Sus scrofa: one gene and its partner. The protein of the gene in region 2 purifies or fractionates together with the protein of the main gene of each other region. This does not show direct contact. Links are inferred from orthologs where the notes say so. Each region holds a gene or a part of one and is shown on either strand. Other genes may lie near its edges.

The links. Proteins that work in one complex are often made in the same cells at the same time.
Region 1: the proteins of CCNY (region 2) and CDK14 purify together in Homo sapiens (affinity purification with western blotting; 3 studies listed by BioGRID and IntAct, with this or other methods). This does not show direct contact. The link is inferred for Sus scrofa from reciprocal best matches to the Homo sapiens genes CCNY and CDK14.

Annotation. Positions count from the first base shown.
Region 1 is NC_010451.4:71,205,239-71,210,825, forward strand, and holds part of CDK14 (cyclin-dependent kinase 14), read left to right. Parts: intron 1-2,252; coding exon 2,253-2,392; intron 2,393-5,587. UniProt on the Homo sapiens protein: Serine/threonine-protein kinase involved in the control of the eukaryotic cell cycle, whose activity is controlled by an associated cyclin.
Region 2 is NC_010452.4:58,018,657-58,024,945, reverse strand, and holds the start of CCNY (cyclin-Y), read right to left. Parts: upstream 3,723-6,289; coding exon 3,656-3,722; intron 1-3,655. UniProt on the Homo sapiens protein: Positive regulatory subunit of the cyclin-dependent kinases CDK14/PFTK1 and CDK16.

The DNA.
Region 1 (5,587 bases), on a different chromosome or scaffold from region 2:
GCAGATGGAAATAAAATGCATAAAATGCATAACTTCTAAAATAGAAGATGGAAAATATTTTAAGACTCAATCCAAAAGAGGGCAGGAAAAGAGTAAAAAGGAAAAGCAGAACAAAATAGGATACGACATTAAGATGATAATAGTAGTTCCAAATATATCGGTAATCATGAAATATAAAAGGGACTAAATTTTTTACCTTAGAAGATGGGGGTTGTTTGATAAACATTAGACCCAGCTATGTAATATTTATGAGACACCTTAAAATTGAATATGGAATAGTAAAAGTAAGAGAATGACAAAAGGTAGGACAGGCAAATACTAAACAAAAGAAAGACGATGTCATTAAATTAATAAGGGGGGAAAAAAAGGACTTTAGCCCAGAAAGCTATTTATTAAAGATAGAGATGGTCACCACAGAAGGATTAAAGACTGAATTTACCAGGAAGATACAACAATGCTAGACTGTTAAGCATTTAATTACCCAAATTTACAACATAGAAAACAGAACTTGGTGAAGTCGCAGGGAAAGACTGTCTATAAACTGAAAGCACAAGGAGTTCCCATTGTGGCTCAGTGGGTTAAGAACACGACTAGTATCTATGAGGACGTGGGTATGATCCTTGGCCTCTCTCAGTGGCTTAAGGATCTGTTGTCGCCGTGAGCTGTGGTATAGGTCACAGATGTGGCTCGGATCTGTGGCTGTGGCGTAGGCCGGCGGCTACAGCTCCAATTAGACCCACAGTCTGGCAACCTCCATATGCCAGCAGTACGGCCCTAAAAGGGACAGAAGACAAAAAACAAACAAACAAACAAAAACAACCATTGCAGCAGCCAAACACTGAGCCCATCTGTGAGACCTTCACCTATGAAGATTTAGAGAGAAAGTCTCTTAGGTTGGGGTCTTTAATGTTTTTCTTGGCTCTTCTCCCTTTTTCTTCCTCTACCCAAGTCCATGACCCTTTTTCTCCCCCACCCACCCCCCAACCCTACATCCTGACCCATAACAATTTAAAATCAGTATTAAAGAGCTGCTTCAGAAGGACAAGGAAGAGAATTGTTGGTCATTGAAGAAAGATGTTTATTGGCTAATGGCATGTTTTGTAGGCTTTTGAAAGAATCTCCACTAGCAGATGTAACTTTTCTCCACATTCTTCTGGCTGCCTTAGAGTCCCTGTACTTACTGCATCTTGTTGCAGAAACTCAGGAATCTGCGCATAAAAGCCTTTAGAAATGATCGGAGAACTTGGCAAATGCAAACTACATTAGAGTTAGCTAGTTCTGACTGGGTTTCAATCCACTCAACCTGCTAACTGAGCAACCCACCACCTTCTCGGACTTCCGCTTAGCTCCACTGCTACTAGATGGAAACAGAGTTACTGGGTGGAGTAATAAATATGACAGTACATGAGAAGTGCCTAGGAACGAGCTTGAACCACGTTCAACTGTTCATATATGGGAGTCGCTATTAGGAAGACTTTAATTATTGTTTTTATGTTAATTATCTGGGTTTGATTGCCCTGAGAAATGAAATGGAGATTCCGTGAAAAACAAGCCTGGGCTGGACAGTGTGGTCTGCTACCCATTTGAAAGCTGGTACCACATGGAAGATTTTACTCCTCTGCTTTTTTGGTGATCTTGAGACATAGTTTCTGTCTGCTGTTGTTTTTAAGGTCATCTTGAATTGATTCAGTCCCATGTGGTTTAAGCTTATTCCCTTTGTTAACCTGCATGTTAATGTTACAATTGTTGAAAGGGTACTTATCCCAATAATTTTATATTCAATGTAAGAAAATGTAAATTCTTAGAGGGAAGGTAACTTTAGTAACTAGAGAATTTGATAGCAGATTTATTTTAATTCTCCTGATTATTTTGTATTAATTTTCCTATAAATGTATCCAGATGTGTATGCGGTCCCTAGATTCTATGAAAAAATTCTGGCAACTATTTGATAAATTATCTTCTGAAATTTTTTACCTTGGGACCTAATTTTATCCTGAAAATACCAACCCTTTGCTTATAGTAGAAGTATGTTAAATCAATAAGACTAGGATATCAAGAATAAAAGCCAGCCAATTTAGAGTAACAAATACTCTAAGAACTAATGTGAATTCTGCTCTTTATTTTCAACAGGCAATTTGACTTGTTTTCTTGACCAGGAATAAATAAGTCCAGAAAAATTAGGTGAGGCTTATGTCTTACTAGTGAATTTTCTTGTGTGTTCTGATTTCTCTCTTTTTTGCTTGTGTTTTCAGGCTCAGCTATGTGAATCATGCAGAGGATCTGGCCTCCAAGCTCCTACAGTGTTCCCCAAAGAACAGACTATCAGCCCAGGCTGCCTTGAGCCACGAGTATTTTAGTGACCTGCCCCCACGGCTATGGGAACTGACTGATAGTGAGTATGACAATTCGAAACATCCAGTTGAAGCAGGGACATGGTTTTAGCATGTATGTATGGCACACAGGTAGAGAGACTCACATGTTTATATGTGCATCTGTAATATGTATATTTGTAAGTGAATTGTGTGTGTGTGTGTGTGTACATGCATGTATATATGAGAGGGAGAGAGGGAGGGAAAAAGAATGAGGGGAGAGGGTAGAAAGTGTATATATTTAGTGGAATCCTGCCATTCAATTGCTAGCTTACCAGACACAGGAAGAAAATGGATTCCTTTTTTTGCTATCTCTGCTCTGCAGTCAGCAGCTGCGTGTCTTTGTATTTGATTATGTGTGTGTCCAAAAAAAAAAAAAAAAAAAATGATCTGAGCAGTCATAAAGGAGAAGGAATATATGATTTACATATTTAGTGCTTTATGCATACCGTACTTTTTAACTGGCTGCAGTACACATAGTAGAAATGATTCATTTCTGTTTGATTCTCAGAGACCATCTTGGTTGTTATAACAATAACCTTAAAAAGGGCTGCTATGCAGTGAGCTGACGAACAGAGTTGGCGGTTGGTTAATGCACTGAATTGACATGTAAGAACTGAAGACATGTAATTCATTTTAACTAGAAACGCTCTCGGTATTCATACAGAGCTCTTCTCTGGATCTTTTAAAACAAAACACATTCCTGGGTGGGTTTTTGTTTTGTTTTTACAAAAGCGTTCGTATTTACACAGCCTTTTCCAATTAGATTTTAAATATCTGGGGGAGGATTTATGGCTGGGAGGATCTCATCTTTCTTCCAAAGTGTGAAACAAAATTCTTGTGAAATTTTGCTGAACACTATTGCAATAAGAATGTTTTTCTTTGACGGTAATACGTTCTTTCCAATGCTAATTAGAGGTATTTCTTCTCATACCCTTTTTTGTTCTAAAAATTAATATACTGCATATATGGATAGATATTGATAATGTCATTATTAATCCTTGCGTATACATCACTTACCATAGACATACATAGAAGTTACTTCTTTAATCTCTTGGTCTTTAGACTTTCTCCCCCCCATGATAGCTTTGGAGGCTCCTCAGTGACAGTAACCTTTTCTTTTGGAATTGAGTCCCAAGTAACAATGCTTAAGTATTTCTACCCTAAATCTTTTCTGATATCCCAGGTTTAATTGTCATTACTTTTTTTTTAACTCTAGAGTGACTATAGCTATATTAACCCACTACTCCACCGTGCTTCAAAAATCCTCACTATTTCATAACATCTTTATTCCATATTCTACCCTCCTTCCTTTCTAGAAGTCTACCCCCTGACCACTACTACAGCTGTTCCCACTTTTTAAAAAATTTAGAGACAAAAATCCCTGTAGAAAAATAAGCTATTGGTGACATACCTTCCCATATAAAAAAAAAATGATGCAAATGGATGCATTAGTTTATGACTCATCAAACTCAAACGTATGGTTTGTTTTTGCATTTAGTATAACTTGTAACTGGATATCACTGCTCCTTGGTGACATCTCAATCCCATCTGACTTGATGATTGAGTTTAAGCCAGGATTCTGATGGTCTATGAATTCTGAATTCTGTAGTAGTACTTTTCTGTTAATATGGACTTATTACCCACTTGCCACTTAGTTTATCAGCCAGTGGTTAAATCCAGTTTCTATCAGTAAGTAAATGCCTACACATTATCACTCGGCAGCAGGCTGCCAGCGGAGACAGCCTTGTCCCCGTCATTAACAAGCACAATGTATGCAGAACACCAGAGGGGAATTAAAACCACAAAAAATACCTCAGGGTGGTATTTTTAATATGAGAATTTAATTTGTAATTTCACAGATTAAGAATTTTGGCTGCATTAATCCCTTTATCAGCTCACAGCAGGCTATTTGCAGAAGCATAACCATAAGGCGATATTCATTGGCAGAAACACGTCTTTGCATAACGTTAAACATCAGGAGCAGTGAAACCTTTTGAAGGGGGGAGAATAAAGATGAAAAATCATTATATTTTTCAAGCAAGAATCTGCTAAATGCCTCCGGTAACAATTTTGAGTTACAGAAATGCTATTTCTGTGTCTAGTAGATAATCATTATGAAGCATAAATCCAGGCGCAAGAAAGGACAATCCCAGTATTAAATACCACAGTCATTTCCATTTCGAACAACGTGGTCGTCCTTGTAAACATGTTGACAAAACAAAGAATTCCTAAGCTTTGGAGACTTTGGGAACTAGTTCTTTTAGTTTTGAGGTGACTGGTTTGGGTGACTCTCTTATTGAGGTTAATATTCCGCAGACTAGATTTAGGCATTCTTAAAATTAAATTTTACGTGTGGAGTCTCATAAAAGTTTACCACCTGGCAAACAGCAGCAGCAGCAGCAGTGGCGGCGGTGCCAGGATCCTCATACTCTTCCTTTTCCAGGAGATTTGGAAGGGGGTCCATCTGAAAAGAAGTGTTGCCGAATCAATAAATGGATTGTCTTAGCAACCAAGTCATGGTTTAGATTTATCAGTTTCAGGAACCTCACATTAATACCTAGTCTGCTCAGGCTGCAATAGCAAAATACCGTAGACTGGGGCTTAAAAAAACCCCCACACATTTATTTCTCCTGGTTCTGAAGGCTGGGAAGTCCAAGATCAAGGCGCAGCAAATTCAGAGTTCCTGATGAAAGAGCCACCTTCCTGTATCCTCACATGGCAACCAGAAAGAGTGACACCTCTCTCTCTCTCTTCCTTTTCATACAGAGCCACTAATCTCATCCTAAGGGTCACATCCTCATGACTTCATCTAACCCTAATTACTACCCAAAGGCTCCATCCCAAATATTATCACATTGGGGGTTAAGACTTAACTTTACGAATTTTGGAGGGATGCAGTTAAATCCATAGCAGCACATTCTTAAAGACAGGTCATAGCATTTTTTTAAAAAAAGAATGTCCACAAAGGGAAAACACTTATGCAAGCAGAAGGCAAACCCAGGTTAAACAGAGAAGATTGTAACAAAAAATAAGTTCAGAGTGGACTCCAGCCTTCTTGGCCTACTTTAATATATCAGACCTTTCGAGAAGAGTATCAAGTGTTATTAGAACCTTGGTTACACAGAGCACTGCAGTCATTCCATGGATTCTTATAAAAATGAAGTTTTAAGCTCATGCCAGATTGTTATTTGCTTTGGAAGAACATATAACAAAGT
Region 2 (6,289 bases):
TGGTGACTGACCCAGATGAAATCCTGCTGCCTCCCCAGATGTCACAGGGCAGCTGACCCAAAATATCAACTGCATGAGGCTGGTATAAACATAGGAAGCTGGGGAAAGAGGGAAAAGGTGGCTCCTGAAGGGGGACTAACTTAGGACAGTTCCACGGTTAGAGTTTCTTGTGCCCACAGCCAGCAGGGGGCGCTGCCGAGCAGCAAGTGCAGCGGAGGAGGCGGGGCCGCAGGCCCCACCCGCCGCCAGGTGTAGCACACCTGAGCCTTTGCTCGGGACTGCACCCACTGAGCAACTTTCTGACGACGGACAAATCTGGAGGAAGCACAGGTCAGGAGAGAGGATACAGAAAGGGCAGACTGAGCAGAACTGACATTCTGGGTCTGTCTGACCAGCTGAGTGTGTTCTCCACAGGCAGCCTTCTCCACACGGGAGGCCCAAGAGATCAGACACTGGACCAGGTGATGCTGCCGAGAAAAGTGGGGCACAAGGGCCACCAAAGCCCTCCGTTATCCATTTAACTTAGGGGGCTGAGCACGGCCAAGAGACCCTGCACCCACCCCACCTCGTGCAGCTTAAGACATGGCAGCAGAGGTGGGAGAGCTGTCCGCGGGCAGGACCAGCGCCTCGGGTTCAGACCAGGGAAGCACCTGCAGTGTAGGGAAGGCCCAGTACATTCCCTGGCCCTACAAGACCTACACCCCTGTGCCCAAATAATGGATGCGTCCCTTTTTAAGGATGAAAGTAATGTCTCAGACCAGAAGAGAAAGCCTCTCATTGGGGAGAGTGCCACAGGGCCTCGGCCTGCCCCAGGCTGGACCATGCTCCCTGCCTCCACTCTCTCATGACCTCATTCATCCATCGGTCTTTTCAAGTTTCTCCTGCAGGCTAGTCTCTGTGCTCGGCACAGTCCTTATCCTACAGCAAGATGGAATTTGGTGGGTCAATAGACCCACTGGTTCATTTACAAACCAAACAAACAAACAAAAAATTCACCTTCACATAGACAAACATGCAAATTGCATTGACTTTAGTGCCACTGGTGTTACAGTACATCTTTTTTCTATCTGCCATTAAGAAAAAAATACCACTGGAGTTCCCGTCGTGGCGCAGCAGAAATGAATCCGACTAGGAACCATGAGGATGCGGGTTTGACCCCTGGCCCCGCTCAATGGGTTAAGGATCTGGTGTTGCTGTGAGCTGTGGTGTAGGCTGCAGACATGGCTTGGATCTGGCGTTGCTGTGGCTCTGGCGTAGGCCAGCATCTGTAGCTCTGATTGGACACCTAGCCTGGGAACCTCCATATGCCTCCGGTGCGACCGTCAAAAAACAAAAGACAAAAATACTGCTGATTGATAGTGACAAGCCACACTGCCTGTCGATCTCAGAGATGTTCCAGTTGGGGAAACGTGTGGGTGGGAAGGCAGAAGGGTGGGGGATCGGGGAACACGTATCCTCCGGGGCCAACATGGGCTGGCCTGGACGGGGAGCAGGGCACACAGACAGGGGTGGGGATGAGCCTTGCAGGACTGGAGCAGCTCAGAGCTGAGGCGGGAGGGGACCGCAGGGGAGAGGCCCCGGGAGAGGACAGGGCAGGACGGCAGGAGGTGAAGCCCGGGTACTAAGTTCTGTCTAGGCCACACTGAGTTCAGAGGAAGCAACAGATGTCCAGCAGCCAGCAGGATAGAGGGGTTGAGAACACTGCAGAGCAAAATCCAGCTGCACATTACAGAAGGCTTGGAAACTGGGAGGCATGAGATGCGGACCAAAAAGGTAAGGGGGTAAAGCACAGAACCCTCAAAAAGACCAAGGCACACACGGAGAAACTGACATGTCCGAGAGGCACGTTAAGGAAAGAGCCGTTCCCAAAGAGCCAATTCCCTGTAATCACTTCACCAAAGAATTGACTCATTACGGTCACTAGATTTACCTATTTTAAAAACCTACTTAATTATCCATAGAGCAACCCCTTAATTAATTGGACTGGTTTCCAGCAAACGAGCCTTTGTGAAGACAGGAAGCCAAAACAGGCGTTTCAAGGAGCCAGTGCCACATGAGAGCGGGAGCCACCAGAGGCCGTGTCACGAAACAGAGGTGGCGGGAGGAAGAGCCCGGGGGGACAGCAAATGACAAGAGGAGGAGACGGTACAGGAGCTCCCCCTCAGCAGAACCGGAGACGGGGTCGGCTGTTCCGCCCTTTCTTGCTTTTAACCGGAACGACTCAAGCAGGTTTACACTGAACAGAAAGACTCAGCGTTTAAAGGAGAAATAAGCAAAAAACCAGAAGGATCAGAGTCACTGATGCTGAAAATCTGGACAGAAGAGCGTGGAGCAGAGGGGAAGGTATGCGACCCTGACGCCGGCCCAGAGCTCCTGTTAGGGCCGAGAATCCGACACCCCCTCCCCATGACGAGCAAGATACGCATCATCCAGTTAGAGGCCCTGATGCAATTCCGTGCCAATCCAGCTAGAACATTTTCTGACAGATGTTGCCCTGTGCCCTGAATTCGCAGGAAGCAGGAACCAAATCTGCAAGTATGCCAAACATGTAACTTGTTTTCACAGCACTGTCATCAGGCGTAAAACAACTGCTTTTGGTTCTCACTCTTCATTGTCCCAAACCCTCTGCTGCTGCTCTCCTGCCCCGGCCACATCCTACCCTCCCAACCGCCTCCCACCGACCAGCCCAGGGCACGAAAAAAACGTTTTGCTTTCGCCCAATACATTCAAGTACTTGATGCCAGCGATAATTTATTCTTATCCTTGGAAACACTTTTTTTTTTTTTTAAATAAATGCGCCACATTCTTTCCAATCAAATCAGTGGCCTGCTTGATTAAAGCTCACCAATATTCATCAGCATGACACCAGGTCAAAGTCGTTTCCTAACCATAAACTGGGTTATCAGTTCTTATTACATGAACTACTGTCTTAGACATGTTTATCTTCTGGTCCATTTATGAACTTCGCAAAATCAGAGCTTAGCAATTTGCTAAAAGAGGCAGGGCCAGAATCCTGCAACGCTGCAGCACTGTAACAGAACAGACTGCGTCACCGTTCACTGTGTGTCTTCTCTCTCCTTTGCGGTCTCAGGCCAGGGGACAGCGGTGCAAGCCAAGGGCTGAAGAGGGAAAAACCCGCAGGAGAAAGTCCACACTCGTGGGACCACAAAGGCTGCGGAGAAACCCGGTTAGCAGAGGCCTGGCAGAAAGAAAACATCTACCCCTGGTGCACAGGTTCAACTCAGCGCTCAGATGACACAACGGAGAGGACGGTGCTTTTAGTAAGGGTTCTATTTTGATTTCTTTTACATACTACCTAATACTTTTGATTTGAGAGAATTTATACAAATACCAACTCTTTAAAGGAAAATTTCTGACTCTCAGGTTAGAAACTACCTAGAACTAATCCAGCTCATTGGCAAAATAAGGACAGTTGCCTCAAACAGTAAATTTTATAACTTGCTACAAAATAAAGAAACCGCAAGGAAATCACTATCAATAATACCTTCCGGGGTCAGTGAGGGGATTCTGTTTTTCTCCTGAGTCTGGTGGAAAGTCAAGACTGAGGCTACTATCAACATAAGGAAGGGAGGGGGTGGGGGGGAGAGAGGGAGACAGACAGACAGACAGACAGACAAATACATTAGTTACCCACCATCCGTCTGCGATTTACTGAGGAATATTGTGCTGGCCCGAGGATGGTCTGAAGGATTGAATTCCATGTTCAAATCTTTAAAAAAAGAAGGAAAAAGAAAATATATGAATATCCATCTAGTAACTAAAGGGAGTCAAGATTTTCAATTTTTTCAACCTTCAATTGCCAATACATTCAAGGATCCTGGAAAAATCCAATAGTTATCGTGTTAATAGATTGTTCTAGATTCAACTGAGAACACTGCTATTTAGAAACTTGAGAAAATCATACATTTAAAAAAAAAAAAAAAAAGTCACACACTCGGCTGGAGATCCATTAGCTGAAAACTCCATTTTCTTTTTACAAGTCTGCTCTGCACCCAAGAAACTACACAACAGCAGGACAAAGTTCTAACAGGTAATTGAGGAGAGTTATGTGTTACAACTGACTCATCTAAATCTACAGATATGTGAGCGGTATTTGCTTGTTAAAGGTGATTAAAATAAGATATCTCAGCCAAATCGGCATCCACACACTCTGCTTAATGACGACTGTTCTTTTCTGAAAAGGCAAAAATTAATCCTTTAGAACAAAGACTCAAACTGGCCATCTGTGGGCATAATCTGGACCATGGATGTGATTTGTCTGATCCACACAGTCTTTCCTTTTGTAAAAGTTTAAGCTAATATATAATGATTTTCACATTTCAAACACTTATCACAACGTGCAAAATCTCTATCTCCAGCTTCTCTTGAGAAACCAGATTATATGGTAACACCAGGCTCCACCCCAAGGGTCACAACTTGTGGGACCTAAGACCCCATGCCCAGTCCTCACCTCTGCTCCCTATCCTGACACTCCTGGGGGCACCTCCTCAGGACCCACCCCTTCCTCCCCCACTGGCATGTGGCTTTGTGATCCTGCCTTAGAACAGCCTCCAAGGGCTACAGGCTCTAAACAATCAGAACCACCGTAGAAGAGTTTTTCTAATTAAAAAAAAAAATTCCATTGGAAAGAATGGTTAAACAAAACAAAATAAATTAGAAGAAGGAAGATATAAGCTCAAAATTAATAGTCAGAATGACCTTCAAATCAGCTCCCAGCATCAGAATGAAGTATTTTGCGTTCCAGTATCTCGAAAAAGTTGCAAATACATCTAATCAACACCAATAAAAACAGATGGTATCTATCCTTGGTTTGTTTGTTTTTTCCTTCTTTTTTTTCCGGGGCTGGGGGGGTGGGGATGCAGAAATTCCCGGGCTATGGATCAAACCCACGCCACATCAGTGACTAGAGCACACCAGTGACAGTGCCAGATCCCTAACCCACTGAGCCACTAGGGAACTCCTCTATCCGGGTTAAAGACAAAAGGAAAGAAAACACAAGATGGTCACATGCTCCCTGGAGGCAACACCTGAGGGCTGTCGCAGACTCAGAGGCCTCACCTCTTCCTACGGCCTGCACGATGGTGGCTCAGCGGCTCACTGGAAGACAGCTGCTGACCTCTTGGGGGTGGGATGAAAGAAACATCTACTAAACCTTAAATGCTAGTTCAACTATCTGGTCCTTCTTCTGTTACAAGCATTCAAGTTAGAGGCAGTGGTTGAAGGCATTAAGGGAGTTTGATGGAAGCAGAAAGAGAGAAAAAAGAAATACTCAATGGTTCAAACTTGCTTCCATTTGAACCAGCTAAAGTCAGGCCAGAAGTTTCTGGTGAAAAAGAGCAGGGTTTCCTGCTCAACTAGGATCTTGCTATTCAAAGGTTAAATCTCTGCCGTCTGTGGTCAGCTCCACACATCCTTACTTTTGTTCCCCTAACACCCCCGACTTGTCTTCTTTCAGACCCGCTTTATTATTCAAATCATCAGTAGGGGTTTGCAGAACAATATAAGCAAAAAGTGTCAAGTTCTTCTGATTGGAGCCAAAAGTGGAACCAAAATAACCCAAGGCTGCCGTTCCTCGTTCCTGTTCCTCGTTCCTCGGGGCACTGTGATCCCGCTGTGAAGAGTGCCCGCTACCCACGCAGCAGCCCCGGTACCGGAGATTAGGACGCTGCGCCCCCAAACTGCTCAGAAGGGACCGTCACAGATCCTGAGGGGCTTCTTCTGTGAGAGCAAACGCCAGCACATGCGATGCCCCCCTCAAAAACCACGTGGAGAACACTTCATTCGCAGGGAAACAGACACACCATGTCATGAGGTGAAGGAAGCAGTGAGATGGCATTTTGGGGGAAAGTACAGGTAGGCACAGAAGGTACAAAAAAAGAACAGATACCAATATTGGGTTACCTCTGAATAATGCAACTGAGCAATGTTTTGTTTTGCTTCCCTGTGTCTCCTAAATTCTCTGCCTTGTGCATACTGTTGTTAGTTTGCTTTTTAAACTTCTGAAATGATTTGAGCCTTTATTACCCTCTGGGTAGCTGGACTCTCTTCAGCACAGGCTGGTGTTCCCAGAAGCTCTCCCAGAGGTCGGGAGACTGGCACGCAGCCACCACGATGAATGTCCCCACCCTCGTCCTGCCAGTGGGCCCTGCCTGGTGTAAAGGGGGCCACAGGGCAGCGGGGAGGATAACGGCTCCTCTCCATGGGGACTGAGCGCAGGGCTCCCCGTACCAAGCGGGCTCCTTTCCAGCCAGGTCACAGGGCCCGGCCT